Kluyveromyces lactis: one gene and its partner. The protein of the gene in region 1 purifies or fractionates together with the protein of each later gene. This does not show direct contact. Links are inferred from orthologs where the notes say so. Each region holds a gene or a part of one and is shown in the gene's direction. Other genes may lie near its edges. The genes, in order: SUM1 and RFM1.

The links.
Region 2: the proteins of SUM1 (region 1) and RFM1 purify together in Saccharomyces cerevisiae (affinity purification with mass spectrometry; 3 studies listed by BioGRID, with this or other methods). This does not show direct contact. The link is inferred for Kluyveromyces lactis from reciprocal best matches to the Saccharomyces cerevisiae genes SUM1 and RFM1.

The regions. Positions count from the first base shown.
Region 1 is NC_006039.1:1,282,150-1,291,828, forward strand, and holds SUM1 (Sum1p), read left to right. Parts: upstream 1-2,001; coding exon 2,002-4,857; downstream 4,858-9,679. Other genes in the region: 2-dehydropantoate 2-reductase PAN5, read left to right, coding at 160-1,269; RNA-binding RNA processing protein RPP1, read left to right, coding at 5,299-6,156; KLLA0_C14740g (uncharacterized protein), read left to right, coding at 6,677-7,237; GIC2 (Gic2p), read left to right, coding at 7,709-8,815; VMA22 (Vma22p), read right to left, coding at 9,135-9,647. UniProt on the Saccharomyces cerevisiae protein: DNA-binding protein that specifically binds the regulatory region of middle sporulation genes (MSE). Required for the repression of middle sporulation genes during vegetative growth. Represses expression via the recruitment of histone deacetylase HST1.
Region 2 is NC_006039.1:607,704-616,028, forward strand, and holds RFM1 (Rfm1p), read left to right. Parts: upstream 1-2,896; coding exon 2,897-3,865; downstream 3,866-8,325. Other genes in the region: KLLA0_C07018g (alpha/beta hydrolase), read left to right, coding at 1-466; FMP42 (Fmp42p), read left to right, coding at 940-2,487; ERG8 (phosphomevalonate kinase), read right to left, coding at 3,939-5,276; ESC1 (Esc1p), read right to left, coding at 5,519-8,325. UniProt on the Saccharomyces cerevisiae protein: Tethering factor required for histone deacetylase HST1-mediated repression. Probably involved in targeting HST1 to a subset of SUM1-regulated genes.

The DNA.
Region 1 (9,679 bases):
GTTTCTGTAATTTAAGGTTAAAATGAAGTTAAAAAAAAGATTTGTTTGAAAAGAAAAAGTCAGATTCACTCATTACGTGTTGTAATGATATAAAAGTTCAAGCAAATATCTGCTAAACCAATATTGACAGTCGCTCGAATCAGTTATCGCTGGATCAATATGACAGGACAGTCGCCGATTTATATTTTAGGGTTTGGTGCCATTGGCAGTTTACTTGGTGTTCATCTGCAAAAGTATGGAGGTAGAAAAGTTATTCCAATATTCAGATCTTTGGACAGACTCAACGAATTCAAGAAACTTGATTGCAAGATTACAATCAAACCTTTGTTCGATGCGAGTTTATCTCCCTTAACAGAGCAATTTCAAAGTGCGACGTGCCCCGGCATCTTCCAAGGCAAAATCGATAATTTGATCGTCACTTGTAAGACATATCAAACGGCTGAGGCATTGAAAATGTTTCTGCCGTACCTTCACAACGACACTAACATCATCATGATTCAAAACGGACTCGGTGTCGCTGAAGTGTTGAAGGAACAAGTCTTCACAGGAAGCGACTTACAATCAAATTTGTTCCAAGGTGTCATTGGCCATGGTATTTTCCAAGATAAAGAGATTAAGAATCAGTACAATCATGCAGGGTTTGTTGATTGCAAGGTCTCGAAATTACCCGAAAATGATGAAAATATTATAGAAACGTTAGACCAATTGAATGAATGGAAGCAAAATGATCTGGTTAAAGCTTTGCTAACATTGGACCAATCGTTGGCTGTCATCCATATGACGTACCAGGAACTTTTGTTGGGACAATTAGAGAAGTTCCTAGTCAATTGCTGTATCAACTCTGTCACTTCAATTATAGACTGCATGAATGGAGAATTAGCCAATTGTTCAGAACCAATCTTCACTTCGATCATCGAAGAGGCTCTTCATGTATTCCAAATCGCATATAAACCGTTATTCGATTATCCAGAGACCTTCAGAAATACTGAAAGTGGGAATCTACCAGAACTAGACGTCACTGGCAGATTGAATTTAGAAAGAACACTGAAAAATACCATTTATATGGGATGTATAGTGAATGGAAGTAACTCATCTTCAATGAGACAGGACGTCCTACATTTAAGAGAAACAGAAATTGATTTTATTAACGGCTACATCGTGACGTTGTGCAAAAAATTCTCACTACCAGAATCTGACGCTAAAGTCAACAAAACCATACAGCAACTTGTGAAATTGAGATTGAAATTGAACACGTCGAGAAATATATAGACATTAAGAAAATGTGTATCATATATATCATATAGTGTAAAAATAAACCTTCATGAGCTGATCACTTTCCCTTTCTTGCGCTCTCAGTATTTTGACATCTTTATTTGACAATAAATTCTTTTTCTTTTTTACATTTATTACCCCGGACAGTTACCATTTGGAGTGTAAATTTCAATTGAAAAACCCACTTTAACAGCAGCAAAATAAGGTACGACATTATTTTGCGACTTTCACTTGCAATATATTAGGTTTATATACCTGAACATGTATGTTTATATATTTAAGATTATCCAAAAATTGCCGCAAAGATCATCCATATCTCGAGAATCTCGTAAACGATACAAAAGTCCGCTCATCATATTGATAACCATTGCTCGCACATCAAAAGAAATCAAATTCAACTTTAACACATTCAGTATTCCGCCATCTTTTCCTTACAGTAATTTTTTTTTTTGGCAGCATTTTCTGAGTTTTTTTTCTACTTGATTATTATTGATTGTTTTTTTCCATTTGCACTAAGGTGAAAACGACGAAAATTGGAAAAGTGAAAGAAAAAAAAAAGCGAAATTGAAATTCAATAAATAGTTAAACATCGTTATTGTCGAGAAACAGAACGACAGTGGTGCTTTACAGGGTACTAGTGACTATTTAACGGGTGTAGATCGGATTGAATCTGTTGTTATAGGTTTTGAGTCAGAACAGACGAAACCTGCTTGCTGAATCAGAGACAGTATGGATTCTGATACTGCGATGACAGGCCATGACGATAATAATGGTGAAATTGGAATTGGTGAGAATGGTGTTTCCAGACAAGAGAAGGATAGTTCTGTAGTAGATAAAAAGGACAAGAATGGTATTTCTAGTGTGCAAGCGGGTTTAGAAAGTCAACGAGGTACAATTCGAGAGCTTGAGAAAAAAGTTTCTGAAATTGAGTCTATTTTACCTGAAACTGACGAAATAATTCAAAAGAGTATTGAGTCAGTTGTGGTGACTTTGAAGAACTTATCGCATAACCAGCAAGTTTTGGAAACGAAATTCGAGGACCTTTTAAAGAACCAGGTGAATTCAGATGCGGCCATAAACGATCTATCCGTGGAGATCATCAAGATCAACAGGTTGTTATCCGATAGGTTAACGATGTCCGCGACATCAGGTGCATCGTCAGGGACGATGGGAACTGCTGCGTATGGATCACCCGCATATATGTCATCTGCAAGCGTCTCTCCTCCTCATAGGGGACCTGGTAGACCACCTAAGAAGAACACTTCGATATTGTCCAATGGCGATAAAAAGGCGAAATTGCCATTCCCAAGCGATCATATATCAAAATCAAAACGTCTTTTCCTGGACCCAAGTAAAGAAAAGACGGAGTCCAACTCAGGTTATGATGCAGATGGGGTTGGCAACAGTCGATCTCGTAGTTCTGCTAACGTCAAGCAAGAGACTCCTCAGGAACCAAAGAAACGTAGAGGTAGACCTTCAAAGAAAAGCACATGGGAAGCTCAACTCACTTCTTCACAAAGAAAGACAAATGCTGCAGATAATGATACCAAGGAAAGGCAAAGCTCTAGCTCTAGACGCAAATCTCAAAGATTGAAAAGTGGTTCGCGCCAATATGATGAACAATCGGATCTTTCATCATCGTTTTCCGGTATGTCTGATAATGAAGGGCAAGATGATGAGGGCGATGTCACAGACGATCAGAAACAGTTGGCTAATGATATGCATGACTCTCGTTCCAGAAAACAGAAGGAGCTCGAAATGAAAAGAGATGAAAGAGAAAGGATGCTAGTCACCATGAAATATAGCGATCGTAACGTTACCAGGAATTTCATGGAACTCAACAAAGATCTTTTCATGGCCATGAAACAAGAAGAACGGAAGAAAAGAATGACAGCGGTGCCTTTCAGCGTTCCAGTACCGTTGGGTAAATATCAACTTTCAAGTAAACATTTGGAAGAGTTATCAAAAGTACCTTTCTCCCTGTCGCAAACAGCGGAGAATTCTTCTGGTGCTCAATCACCTTCGTCTAATCCTCCAGACTCTGCTCGCTCTGTGACACCACAAACAATTATATCAGCATATAACAATTTGGAACAACCAGGCAATGTAGGCTCAGTTTCTACGGCAAGTGCGGATGATGTTAACGGTCAAAAATCGTCGTTACTGAATTCTGAGCACAAGGATCTGAACGGCTCTGTGAAAAGAACATCTTCGGACATCGGTGATCGATCTCAAATGTCCAACGAAGCAGAGGGACCACGTAAGGTCAGAATCTTGTCTATCTTGAATGATGATGCATCTACTGGTGTAAAAACAGAAGAGAATGGCTCGGCTAGACCTCATCTGTTAGACATGCCAAATTCGACTCCTCAAGGATCTGCAGACGCATTACCAAGTTCTCAATTATCTGTTGATTCGACAGAAAACTCGCAGGATAACTTTTCCGTCACCACTTTACAATCTGGTGGTGAATCACCAAATAAGAAAAGGCATCTAACATTGCATGATCGTCGAAAGATGAGCAGGATGATTCCGATGTTACCAGAAAAGAAAGATAAAAGGGGAAGACCAAGCTCTAACAATCAATCCCAAGAAAATGCAGCGTCTTTGTTAATGTCATCCCCTGTGGAACTTTACTGCCGTGAAGGTTTTTTTTATAGAAAAGGTTCTACAATTCCAATCACAGCGGGAGAGTATTTGGATTTGAAGTTCAGACACAAAGAAGACGAATTGATTAAATTAACAATGCATGAAGAAGATTACGCCGAGTTAACAAGACAGGATAGAATCAACGCGTATTTCCTTAAACCAGACGTTGAGATTGAAACCTCAATGGCTTGTCAAGTTTTGTCCAATGTCATATTAACCGAGAGATACGTCAATTCATTAGAATATTTCCTGATGGAATTCCGTTGGGAGAATAGATTGGTAAGTTTAGGTCTAAAGCTAAGAGAATCTAAGAGAACTTGGCAAAGACGGAAAGCCTTATTTGCATTATTTGAGTTTTGGAGAGACAAGTCGAAAGATAAGAGAGGTTTCCACAATTATACATTGTTGCATGCAATCAAAGAAATGGAAAATTACAGAGTCTTCATCAATAGGTCGGTTTCATGGTTTTACAACCACATTACCCTTTTAAAAATGATTCTTTTTGATTTATGTGATAATACGAATACTCATTGGAGAGAATGGATGTTCGCCAGAGGCACTGAACTACCGCTTGTTGGTAAAAATGGCGTCGATGTCATGAATATTAATAGAGAAATCGATAATATTTTGGTTCTTGATTTCCTAGAAGATGGTAGCAAAAATTCAAACAAGAAATCAAGTTCTATTCCATACAAAGAAAACAGTGAAGGCCCTCTAGAACAGCCTTATGTTACGAATGATGTTCCCGCAGACAAGGGAACAAAGGAATTACACACTGAGCATGTCCAACAACAGTCAGAAACCCCAGTTCCGGAACTGGCTGGAAATAGAACTGAAGAAAATACAAACCATGCTACTGGGGCGGTAGCTGTAAATCAAGATCAGCACTTACCTTCTTTACCGAAAGATTCAGAAGATGTGAACTCTACGCAATGATATTTATGCACATAGATCATAATGGTTCCTTTTTGGGCGCTGTTTTTCATCAAACCTATTTTAACGGACATTTTATCACTTTATGGAACAAATAGTAAGGTATGTACTCTATAAATAAACTGACAATTATTCTATTTAGATAATATTGTTCTCATACTCAAAAACATTGTGACATGGCCGATTGGATGAAGTTTAAAGTTGTATTTTTCAACAGTTGGGCTTTCAAGTAAGGATTGTACTTCATAGTATGTTATAATATCTTCAAGTATAATTTTTTCGGAAAAGACATTACAATAATCTACCAAAAAAAAAATCTAGTAAATAATGAAACATGAGCATGAGATGAGGTATGCTGGACACTCAAATGGAAACAAAAGTTTCTGTTGAATCACTTGTAAATACTCCTTCCAAATTTGCAAAGCAAAATAGCTATTTGAAAGGATGTTAGTTGATTTAAACGTTCCTTGGCCACAGAAGGATTTTGCAACACCGCCTTCCACGAAGGAGATTAAAACGCTGCACAAGACTCTAGCGACATTGCATACACTAGGGTACACTCACATAGCTTTAAATTTCACAGTAAACCAACAGGATAAATTCCCAAAATCAATCAATGATATGAATCCTATCGATCTATCGCATTTTGATGAACTAGTGAAATCTACGGGATTAAAGCTATATACAAGAATCACAATTATTATAGATGACCTTTCAAAAGGCCAGCCGTTGACAAAGATATCGCAAGCTTTCGATATTGTGGCAGCCCTTCCAGTCAGTGAAAAGGCTGTTACTCTCGTAACGTCTAGCTTGGATGTTGATGTGCTATCATTTTACTACGACAAAAGGCTTCCTACACTTTTGAAACATCACATGATGGGGGGTTGCATTAAGAGAGGAGTCAAAGTAGAAATTGTTTATGCTAACGCTCTTCGAGATATCAGAACACGTAGGCAGTTCGTATCTAACGTGAAGAGTGTGATCAGAACTTGCAGGAACAGAGGAATCGTGGTCAGTAGTGGAGCAACCAGCCCACTAGAATGTCGTAATGTCATTGGAGTTACAAGCATTTTGAACTTTATTGGGCTTCCGAATGACAAATCTCGTAAATCCATGGGCGAGCTTGCTAGTTTGGTACTTCTAAATGGTAGATTAAGAAATAAGAGCTATAAGCAAGTCATTTGTATTGGTAACGAAGATGTAGTCAATGAAGATTTTACACAGAATTCATCGTTCAAAATAGTCAAAAGGAAAAACCCAGATACACTGGAAAGTGATGACTCGAAAAGAACAAAAAGCTGAATTACCATGAACTTAATTTTCATACTGCACTTCTACTGTTGAATCTCTCGAAGCATTCAATAGTACCGATAATACGATATATAATAGATTTTATATTTATATAAGGAAAATAGTACAATAAGCATTAAGCAAAAGATGGATACAAGGTAAATTTAGGAAATTATGGGTAAGAGTAATGATATCGGTGATTTCAATCCACTTTGAGTTCATCTTTAACATGTCCAATTTTACGTTTAGTTTCCAAAGTCAAACTTACTATCAAGTTCTAAACCCAAAGTTATTTTTCATTCTAATATCTGTAAAAAGAGCAGGTTACTGTTACCCGCAACACATACATGGTGTAAATCCGATCAAAAGCTCAGCGGCTATTGAAAAGAGTATAAAAGTATCCAGCTTGGAGACTTTACGATTTTCTTCTTCGAATCATAAACCGCCTTACATAGAAACGGTCTATTATATAAAAAACACAGACAGTACGTAAGGCAGTAACTTGGGAAAACAAGTGCCACACAAAGTTAAAATGGGCGAGGTGAAGAGTTACTTACGAAAATGGAGACGCTCTTCCATTCTTAAAAGAAGCAGTTTGAAGGATAAACGGAAAGAAAATTGGGAACAACGTATAGAGAAGTCCTTGAGCGAATGCGATGACATTAAAAACTTATTGGCTGGTCGTCCAACGACACCTGATATTGCAAGAACGAATAATAGTACATTCCTTTCCAAGCGCTCTAGGGCTTTTGTTACAGAACCGTTATCGAACCAAGAATTGGATAAAATCAAATATATGAATTTTGCAATGGAGAGAGATTATAGAGCAGGTACTAGGCCAGTGATACCGAGAATGGATTCAACCAACAGACGAAAATTGAGCGTAAATCTCACCCCGACATCGATTTCAGCAGATGACTCCGAGAATAATGCGATAGTGAAAGACTTTTCTGAGTTCATTGAAATTTCTTTCAATAGTTTGAGCATTTCCGATGAATACACACCCCAACCAAGCTTTTCCAAAGAGTCCGAGGAACCTAGAACCGCCAGTTCTAAGAGTCTAGAAAGTCTATGGAGTAAAAATGTGAAATAGTCGTAATTGGTAACCATGTTGGGTCAACTAATGACTTATCTAACCCACGAAAAAAAGCCGTAGAAACTTGAGAAAAAATAACGGCCGCCAAAAGAAAAAAAGAAGACATGAAACCCAAGAAAAAAGAAAAAACCGGATTGGCGATGGTGAATTAGAGAGGTTAGAAAACATTAATTTTCGATCAACGAAACGTATCTGCATTCCTGAAGAGGGTGCGAAAATGAAAAATCGTGTTTTTACCTAATATAGGAATTCCTAAATTAACTGAATCCAGTAGTAGTTAACCATAGATGCGAAAAATGTCAGAAAATTGTGAAACCTAGGAATGCATGAAACATTACCACTGTGGACGCGGCCGATATATGTATATATAAACGGATAAACATGATCCAGGGTACAAAGGCCATGATTTGAATCATCAGAAACCAGGCATTGCCGAATAAAACAACCAACAGATCTGGGCCAATACTTATGATGAACGTACCTCAGATCAAGTCGATCTGGCTCGATGAAGACGATGAAACAGAAAAATTATATGGTTTACAAGCTCACCAGCTTCTGGATTCTGACGATGATGATGAATTGGGCGTTGTAATGATCAATAGTGATAAACCTGTCTTAAGTAATAGGAAAAACATTAATCTTCCTCCATTGCCGCCAAATGCGTATGATAAACAATCTGGAAAGAAATCTTTCAAGAAGAAGAAGAACAGCCTCTTAAAACTGTTTCAAAATAAATCAAGTAAAGAAGAACCTCCTAAGTTAAAAATTTCTGTCCCATTTGGATTTAATCACATCTCACATGCAGATTCTAAGGCAGGATTTGAAATGCCTACTGCAGATTCACCACCACCATCTAACAGTCACTTACAGGATATACCGGAAAATACCAAATTTCCGACAAACTCAACAATCAATTCCCCAACGCAAATGACTAAAGCTTTCGTAACAGATGCAATTCCATATGCTAAACACCATCTGGTTTCTAGAGGGTCATCTACAAAACGTTCTTCGGTTGGATCCAGTACGTACTCGAACCAAAGAGTGACATCAACTTCAACAATGGCTACCTCCTTGCTAAACGATTCGCATATGCGTTCCATTTCAAAATTAACTACCCTAGAGAAGACACATTTGAAGCATAAATATTCTCAATCAGATGCCAGTGAAGTAGATGTCGATTTCCTAAAAAACTATCAGTTCCCAACTTTGCTAGAAGAACAATCAATCCTCCAGGTATCAACACCTGAAACGGGAGACAAGAAAATAGACAAATTCCAATGGGAAACACCAGTAAATTCTGCGGATCTTTTAGAGACTATGCTTTTGGATGACTTGAAATCAGTACCAAAAAAATCAATTACACCAAAGCACTCATTGAAAAGAAACTCTGATCCAATTCTGACACCAATTTTAAGGCCATCAGAATACTTAGACTCTCCAAGAACCAGAAGGTCAGTTGATGATGTTTTATTATGCTATCTACAGCCTAGTGATGCTGGATCGTCATTGGATGAAAGCTCTAGTGAGTTTTCCTACGCTAGAAATTCAAACATTTACTATAAATCTATTCTATGATCTTCACCCGTGGCCAGGGCCATTCCATTCACTTTCACAATTGTTCTCAAGAAAATATACCCATCTTTCACTCGTTATTGCATTTACTGAAATCAGCTCTCTTTTTGATACAGATTAACCCTTCGTCGTTCATTTATTAATAATTAATCCCCAATCTGCATGTGTACAGATATACACTCATTGTACGTCTTTCAATTGGCGCCATCCAACGTTATTTTCGTTTCCAGTAAACTGTTCTTTCCAAATTAGCAATTGTACAGATAGTTTTCTTTTGTATTAACTCTGATATAAGATCATTCCCATAGCAATTATAAAGTTCTTAAGCTGAATTTGACAGAGTCCCTAGTGCGTCAAGTAGACCATTAAGAGTACGTCGAAGTTCTAGTAGTTGATAAAGTACCGGCATCGAAGCTTTGAAAGATAATTGACATTGTTTCAAAGAGCTTGGGATTGAAAGGGCACCTCCGAACATATATATAGGATCCTTCTTCACCTTTGCCAATAGTTTTTCTCTTTGTTTTCTCTTCTTTAAATTCTCATTGGTTGCTTCATCTTTCTCAGGAATGATTTCTTCGTCATTGGCAATATGCAACGGCTCTTCAGTCTCCGAAACAGAGTGCTTGTCATTAATGGAGATATACCTGTTTCCTGTATAAGTTTCGTCCCAGTAATCCTTACCATATGATCCTCGAAGTGTGTTCTTATTGTGATAATTCGCTCTGCTCAACTGATGGTAACCTTCTTCAAAACTAGCTTGCAACTGCTCTAATAGAGAATCATAGGTTGCAAGATTCTTAACAATGAGTTGATATATGTCATCCTCCGTCATCATTGGTTTCCTAGCGTCTATTAATATCCAAATCG
Region 2 (8,325 bases), about 670 kb from region 1:
CAGTCAAGGTGCTGGACTAGCAGGGTATCTATCCACTGATTTATGGTCCATTCTGCCGCTAAACAAGGAGGAACAACCGCCTTTCAAATTCGCTATGTACTTCTCCGGTTTCAAATTCGAACCAGAACAGTTCCAAGCTCCGTACGAGACACATCCAATCCAATTAAAAACTCTACATATTGTGGGGGAACTAGATTCCCTCGTTACTGAAGAAAGGTCAATGAAGTTGTTCGAAGCGTGTGATCCTTCAACACGCACTATGGTAAAGCATTCCGGTGGTCACTACATTCCTAATACTAAACCGTTTATCAATATGATTTTGAGTTGGCTGCATGCACAAGCAGATGAAAATTTAAGGGAACTTTCGGGTTCTGAAGAATCTGCTATGAAAAACACCGTTAACAACTCCGATCCACAATTGGACGATGATTTATTAGATATGATTGACTCTTTCGGTAAGATCTAGGCCCAATTCTTTGCCTTGTATATTCTTCACTACATATTTTGTTAAATAAGAAGATAAAGAAAATGTTCTAGTAACTAGAGCTAGCTCCTAATATTTGAAGAAGGAATATTACCTAACTTTTCGTATTCTCCCGTAATGAGAATTACATTTCTCTTATCATTTCCCTTTATCAACTGAAAAACCCTTGAATGGCAGATGATATCAACATAAATTTTTTTAGAAAAATACATATTTGGGTCTCATTCTGGTTATCAATATAAAACTAGTGCCAGAAGAGATGTTTTTCTACCTTGGCATGTAGTAAATATAAAAAGGAGTCTTCAATTATGATTGTAGAAAACCAATTATTTTGAGTTAGAACCTGATCCACGTCCTCAAAGTCTACCAATTCTTTACTCTTATTGCTTCTTTCGAAACAGGCAGATAGATTAAGAAAGACCAAAACCTAATCTAAATACTTTCTGTCATAAATCATGAGAAGTAGTCTCATTGGATGTTTTGATATTCGTATCATACAACTGCTTTGTGCAGTAACATGGTGTTTACTATCTGCAGGGTTGATATTTGGATTTGCTGCTCTAAAGCCAGTTCTTATCGCTCAGCATGTGTACGAAGACTTGTGTTACATCAACGTTGCAGAGGACCCTGTCGTTGAACTTCCATGTACAAAACAAGATTTGAGATTGAATAAAATGTTTGCTGTTGGTGCTGTAGTTACCAACATTGCTGCCTTGCCTGTAGGTTGGGTTTTGGATAATTACGGTCCAAGAATATGTGGTATTGTGGGAGCTCTCTTCCTATTTTCAGGTTCTTTCATCTATATTTCGGCAAAACATATCTCTTTCCTGGATCCATATTTAACAGGCTACATTTCTCTCGCAATTGGTGGACCGTTTGTGTTCATATCCTCATTCCAATTGGCTAATACCTTTCCCAAATACTCTGGTTCTATTCTTGCTGTTATTACTGGTGCTTTCGATTCTTCGTCCGCTTTGTTCTTATTCTACCGAATCTACTATGAGAAGGTAGATCCTGATTTCAACTTGAAAAAATTCTTTACACTATATTTGGTAGTTCCAGTATTTATTGTACTGTGCCAACTGTTTATCATGCCATTCGAGTCATATAAAACTCTAGGTGCTGTTCACAAATTGGAAGTTGAAGGACTTGATGAAGATGGTAATCTTCCAGAGGGCCAAGATGCGTCCATGGTGATACCTGATGCAGATGAATGTTCATCCTTGTTATCCGGAACAGGTCCACAGATTCAGCCAGTTCTTTCTCATGGATCGAGAAGGAAGTCTGTGTTGGAGAACTACGTCGAAGCCAGACTAGAAAAAAGAACCAGAGGGATTTTCGGTGTCTTGCATGAGAAATCCGCTTTAGAGCAGATCAAATCCTATTGGTTTATTTTAATGCTCCTTTTCACGATTGTCACCATGTTGAGAATAAATTATTTCGTTGCAACTGTCAGATCACAAGAAGAGTATTTACTCCGTGATTCTAAACTCGCTGCATTAATGAACTCGATATTTGACGTAGCTCTACCATTACTTGGTATATTATCCATTCCTATAATCGGGATAATTCTAGATAATCTAGAGACATACTCTGTCCTTTTGCTTGTGTGTGGACTTTCTGTATTTATTGGCATTATGGGGTTAATACCATCATTTTATCCGAATTTGCTAGGCATATTACTGCTAGTTGCATTCAGGCCCTTCTATTATACCGTTGTTTCAGACTACTGTTCTAAAATATTTGGATTTGAAACCTTCGGAGTTGTCTATGGCTCAATGATTTGTGTGTCAGGGTGTCTGAATTTCTTCCAAACCTATTTGGACAAACTGACACATACTACCTTCGATATGAATCCTACCCCAGTGAACGTTGGTTTATTGGCCACGACAGTTGTAATTTCGGTGGCACTTTTGGGTTACATTAGAACACAGTCAAAAAGGAGAGCTACACTGATAGATGATGCCCTCAAGTCACCTGTTGCTACCTACAATTCTACATAGAACTTTTCTTTATATTTGTTACTTCTAGTCTGAGTTTATGAGATAGATAACCTAGTAGTTTTAAAACAATCCCTTTTACAACAACACATTCAACCTAAAATATTATTTGCAAATATTGATCGGAATATGACTACCTCGGTCACAGTTGGATGTATGTTCTCAATTTGGCTTCCTCCTGAATCACAGTTATAGGGCGTTCAGTGCTTCTTTTCAAACGCATCCAGTGACAATCAAATAAAAAAAAAAATTGACGTTACACAGTACTTTGAAACATTCATAATGAGAAGAGTGAAATGATGAATTATATACTTGCAAGGAGTATTAAAACTGTATAAAGTAGAGCAATTTAGTGAGTTGTTTCCGTAAAGAATCTGTGACCGAAAGATCGAAAGAAATATTAGAAAGGACGATGGTAAGCTCTCCAATCGTTCTTTCACCTTTCACACCAAACACTATTGGAAACGGCAGAGATGATTCAGTGGATAAAGACGGTCCTTACACTGAACCAGTGGTAGATCCGATTAATGGTACATACACTGTAGATCAAGGACAGGCTTCGAATGAAATTGTCTATTGGAAAGATGCGAAGTCAACTCCGGTGGTCGGCTTTGGGAAGCACATCAACCAGATCAAAGAGAGAAGACAGAAAGTTTATGATGTATTAAAACAACTCGAAAGGGAGATCAAGCCAAGAGAGTTCGAATCATACGCTGAATATTACCTCATTAAAACATTCAAAGTAGGCAAATCAGCGAGTGGAAAAGTTAATGTGGATGGATTACGTAGTAGAGGTAGTGGTGGGCCGTATCGAAGGTTGAAAAGGTCTTCTCAACGCACAAATACATCGAGCTCACGTAATGAATCCAAGTCATCAAGTGATAGCTCCATAGAAGGAGATCATGCCGCATCGGACTCAGATCCTGGCCTGGCTGCGAAGGAAAGTGATACTGATTATAAACCAAGTAATCCTTGGAAAATTAACAGGGACATCACAACAGCTTCAATAATAGAGGAAAACAAATCAGGACCTATTAGAAGATCAAGTCGGTTGACAAGGAAAGAAAGGGAGAAGCAATTGAATAGGAAGAAGCAGGAAGGTAAAGAAGGGGTGATCGACAATGCCACGGAATCTCTACCTGATTCTTCATCTGCTGTAATTCAACACTTATATGAGAATTTGATTACCAAAGTCCAAGAGCCGGCAAGGAGGTCAGATTGGCTTTTACCACCGAAACAGAGATATATACCTGAGAAGAACCAACCTGTTAAACACGAACCTGAGCAGATAAAAATTAATGAACTTGCCAGGAATCTTCGCATCAAGAAGATACTTTCAAGGTTCGATGGTGGCCTTGCCGGAGTAAGAACAGGCATGTAGAAATTTTTCATTTTAAATTTAGCTTACAATTATAAATGCTTGTAATTTTAAGTACTTTATTAAATAGTTTAGGTTAGTTCAAATTTTGGTAAGTACTAGGTTTTTCCTCAATGATTCCCAAATCTTGCTGATTTAAATCTAACCATGTAACGTTTCTGAAGGTAGGATCATTCTTTGTTTCATTCGCTATATTGCAACTGTCTGTTGTAATCAAACAAATAGCATCATATCCTCCAGCACCTGGTACAACTCCGGTTAACACTCCCGGCAAACTGATTGCAGCATTTAAAAGATGTGTTTGGACTTCAGGTTCAATATCGGCACCTGATTGTTCCGTAATGAGTCTGAAGTGTTCTCTAATGGTATGAACGGAATGAACTATTTTCTGCAGTAGTGGGTGTGTCTTTCTTCCTTTATCATTAATGGTTTCAATCAAGGCTTCATATTCCGAAGTGCTTTGGTCACATAGGGCAGTAAGTTCACGCAAGGATTCGACAAATTCTGTGTTCGCTTGGTCTATGGCCTTATAAATTTTAAAAGCGGCTTGACCGTTACCATTATACCATTCATTGACTTTTGCTACGAGTTTTGTTGTCTCCGATCCATTATTAACATCACCCATTATTAGCCTCAATCTTGGAGGGAGAGACACTCTAGAGGCCTTTATTTTCCAATCGGTTTCATCAATCAAAGAAACTAAAGCGAAATGGTATGCTGACGATAATGGTGATGGTAATTGCTCGATGAGTACGGGATCAAATCTGTTGTAAGTGATGGTTCCGTACACTGCTGCAGCAACATCAAAGCCACTACCTATTTTACCTTGTGCCTGACAATGTGCCACTTGAGACAAATTGTGAATTAATCTCATATCATCCTTTGATGAAACATCAAGATTTTGTTTGAAGCAGGAAACCAATGCCGTGACTAAAACAGTAACCAATCCCGCTGAAGACCCCAACCCAGTTTTGGGGACTTCAGTGATAGATTTACTATGAAAAAGGAAAGATTTCACACCGTTACTTCTCAGTTTTGTTCCCGCCTGGGAATGATAGCCAGCATCCGAGTAAATATCGATCACTATGTTTCCTTGTAGTTTTAAATCGGGTTGAAAGTAGTTGAAGACTGTTGATAAAACCTTTTCGATGAAGGGATTCTTGTTTTCTTGCAATTCTTGTGGGCTGTAATTGGAGCTTGAATCCATCTTATACTGCCACTCGTCGTCATTAAACTGAGTACTTCTGACTTTAACAGTTATTGATGATGACGATGATGGACCAATTAATTCGTCTTGCTTGACAACAGCATGCATTCTTGACGATAGCGCCACGACATAAGATCCATATTCTGGTTTCAAAACTAAATAACCGCCTGCTAGAAGGGCTTTACCTGGAGCACTAAAAGATCGCATGCCTTCAATATCTCATATAAGCTTTTGCAATTGGTTTTTACAATCCTTGGGATGCTTTCTCTTTCAGTGTGTGAGTGTTAGCTTCTCTATCGCTGGCCACCATTGCATACGATTTAACCAAGTGAGTTGAAGTGATGAATTTTATTACCCGGAAAACATAACATTATACCAATATAGCACTATATAATATCATCATAAAGATTGCCTTTTGAGGCGTGATGGTTATAGTTATATTGTCACAATCATCGCTTTTTCGATTTAGATCTCAAGTTTCGAGCAACTGAAGTGATTTTGCGAGCTTGTTTTCTTTTCTTGCTTCTTTTACGCTTTGAAGGTTTTGGACTGCTGTTCTCTGTGGCGCGTGGTCTTTTTTTCACCGGTGTTCTCTGCTGAGGTGTTTCTGCTTTTTCAATAGTGACTGGAATATCAGCTGCGTCTGACTCTTCATTTTCGATTTCAATTGGAATCGAGCCTGCTCGGGTAGATGTTTCTAGTTTTTGACCAGGAGACGTAATAGGATTTGCGTCGCTTGGAGCCAAGTGAAGTTCAGTGGTATCATCGATGATAACTGAGGTCGGAGTTGTATCAACGTCTTCATCCGGAGTGTCCTTGGGTAGATCCATGCCTCCATAATGTTTAATTTTGTCCGTTGTTTTATTAATCATTTCTAGTGTTTGTAGTGCTTCGGCATCATGCAATTCATTTGATTCTTTAACTGAGTGAACTTCCTCCGAAACATAAGACTCTTCCCCAGAGTGATTTTCAGATTTGTTTTCTTCATGGTCCTGATTGTGTTCAGGTTCAGAAGGCGCGCTGTTATTCTCAGAATGATTCGAATTAGCTGAGTCCGAATCTGATTCTGTTAAAATCGGATCCACTAAACTTGCAAATTCTGTCGCTGCATCTCCAATAGACCTCACGCCTTCTGCCAATTTATTAAGCATTTTCAAAGGTGAAGCTAATATCCTTTTACCTAGTGTTGGTTCTGGCGAAGGTGATTTCAGTGAATCTTGAGTGGATGAAATTTCACTTTGGTATAACAAGCTTGATGAAGGTTTGTTTACTTTCCCATCAGAGAGATCATGGTTTGTTGCTACAACTACATCACCGCTGACAGCGAGGGAAGGCTCATCCGAATTAAAATCTGCATGAAGTTCGTATGCATTTTCCTTCGATGACGAAGATATTACAGAAGGGCTTCCTTGGTACCCAGAGTTCAAAAGGTCATTTTCGTTATTCGGATACCCCATTTGCCCAGTTTCAGATATATCAGGCACTGAAGTCACAGATGGGTGGTATGGTATCTGATCTGACGCAGTAGCAGAATTGTGAGGAATATTTAACGTAATGTCTGTATTGGAAATTGATAGCTGAATGTTTGATTGTTGCAGTTCATTTTTCGATTCATTTTCATTAACTTCAATGGATAACTCATCTGCTTGCAGATCAAGGCTTTCTTCATCAGTAAAGTGGAGGATTTTTTGAGTTTCAGCGTTAATTTTTTGCTCAACTGCTAACTCTTCCAGCTCCACAGTTCGATGCACTGGTTCAGGCGATTCTCTGAACGAAACTTCAGGTTCAGTAGTAATCTTTTCAATTTCACTATTATTAATATCTTCGGTTATTATTTCTTCTATTTCGATGTAACTTGTGGTGCGAACGCGTACCCGCATGTCAGCTGGTTCCATTACAATAGGCTCGGCTAATTCCTCTTGCGTCGGATCCTCCATTAAGGATTCTACGTACTCACTCAATTCAGTAGATCTCTTGGCTTGTGCAGTATCTTCGAAGGGAGATGCAGCTTCATGTACCTCCGTGCGGTGAACAAGGAGTGGAATTCTTATTACAGGTTTATCATCAGGAAGCGCTTCGGATGCCAGTAGTTCCGACTCATGTTCACGGCTAGAATTTGACAAATCATGATCTGAAATTGCCTTTGAGGGCTCCAATGGTTTAGGATAAGTTACGTGAGACGTTGATCCAGCTTTCTCGTGAGAGTCGGTACCGTCTGAATTGTTCGGCAGGTTATTAGTTGTTGTCTGACTAGAGTTCAGGTTGAATAACGGAATGTTATGATGCTGAGAAGGCTTTTGGAAGAGTGTGGAGTTCAAATTGTTTTCCAGTTTTCTTCTTCTACTATTTTTGATAGAAGCATCGCCTGAAACTTTCTCAGATTGGTTAACTCGTACGGGACTAGTAGTTAAGCGAATCGTTTCCTTATCGATGAACAACGGAATATTTGGTTTATTTTCATTTATTGAATGATCGATAGTCATACTACTATGTCCAGCTTTCTTTTCCGGAGAGACTTGGACATTCTTAGACGCGAAGAAATCACTAGAAATAGGAAAGCTATGCTTAATGTCAAGGGCATCATGAAAAATGTCATCTGAAGGACTTTCAGAACTCACATTGTAGGTTTGAAAATCTTCTGATGCTTCCTCAACTGTCCCTTTCATATTTTCGGCGTTTAGTTCATGATCAAAGGGGTGTTCAACTTGCTGGGAACACGTTGGGTTTTGTGTTACGTCGGATGCAGGATCATCCAAAGTATTTAATAATAAATCATGAAGAAAATCTGTTTTATCAGTGTCTTCATTGTAATCTAAGTGGAAAGGGTCTGAAGCAAATACTGACTGATATTCAGAATTCTCTTCTGTTTGGTGCGCATTGGCATTATTTTGAGGGTTATCATCTTCTGAGAACGAATCAGAAAAAGTCAAACAATATCTCGGTTCAGATTGACCAACATTTCGTTCTTGTCGTTCAACACTAGTTGCTTCTTTTGTTACCATGCATGGTTCTTTAGGCTCAGCGAAAACTTCCTTTTCCGTCTTAGAAAGCGTTGTTTGAGGTAAATCTATGGCATTTGAAGCAAAGTCAATATCTTGTACTGAAGTTTCGGACAGTTCCTCAGAATTTCCAGAACCAGTAGTATTTACATTGTTTTCGGAATATTCTACATTTTTGGGAACGGACCTCTCATGTAATGTTTTCAAAATCAAAGAATGATCGTTGTCCGTAATTAAACCGTAACCATTATTATTCG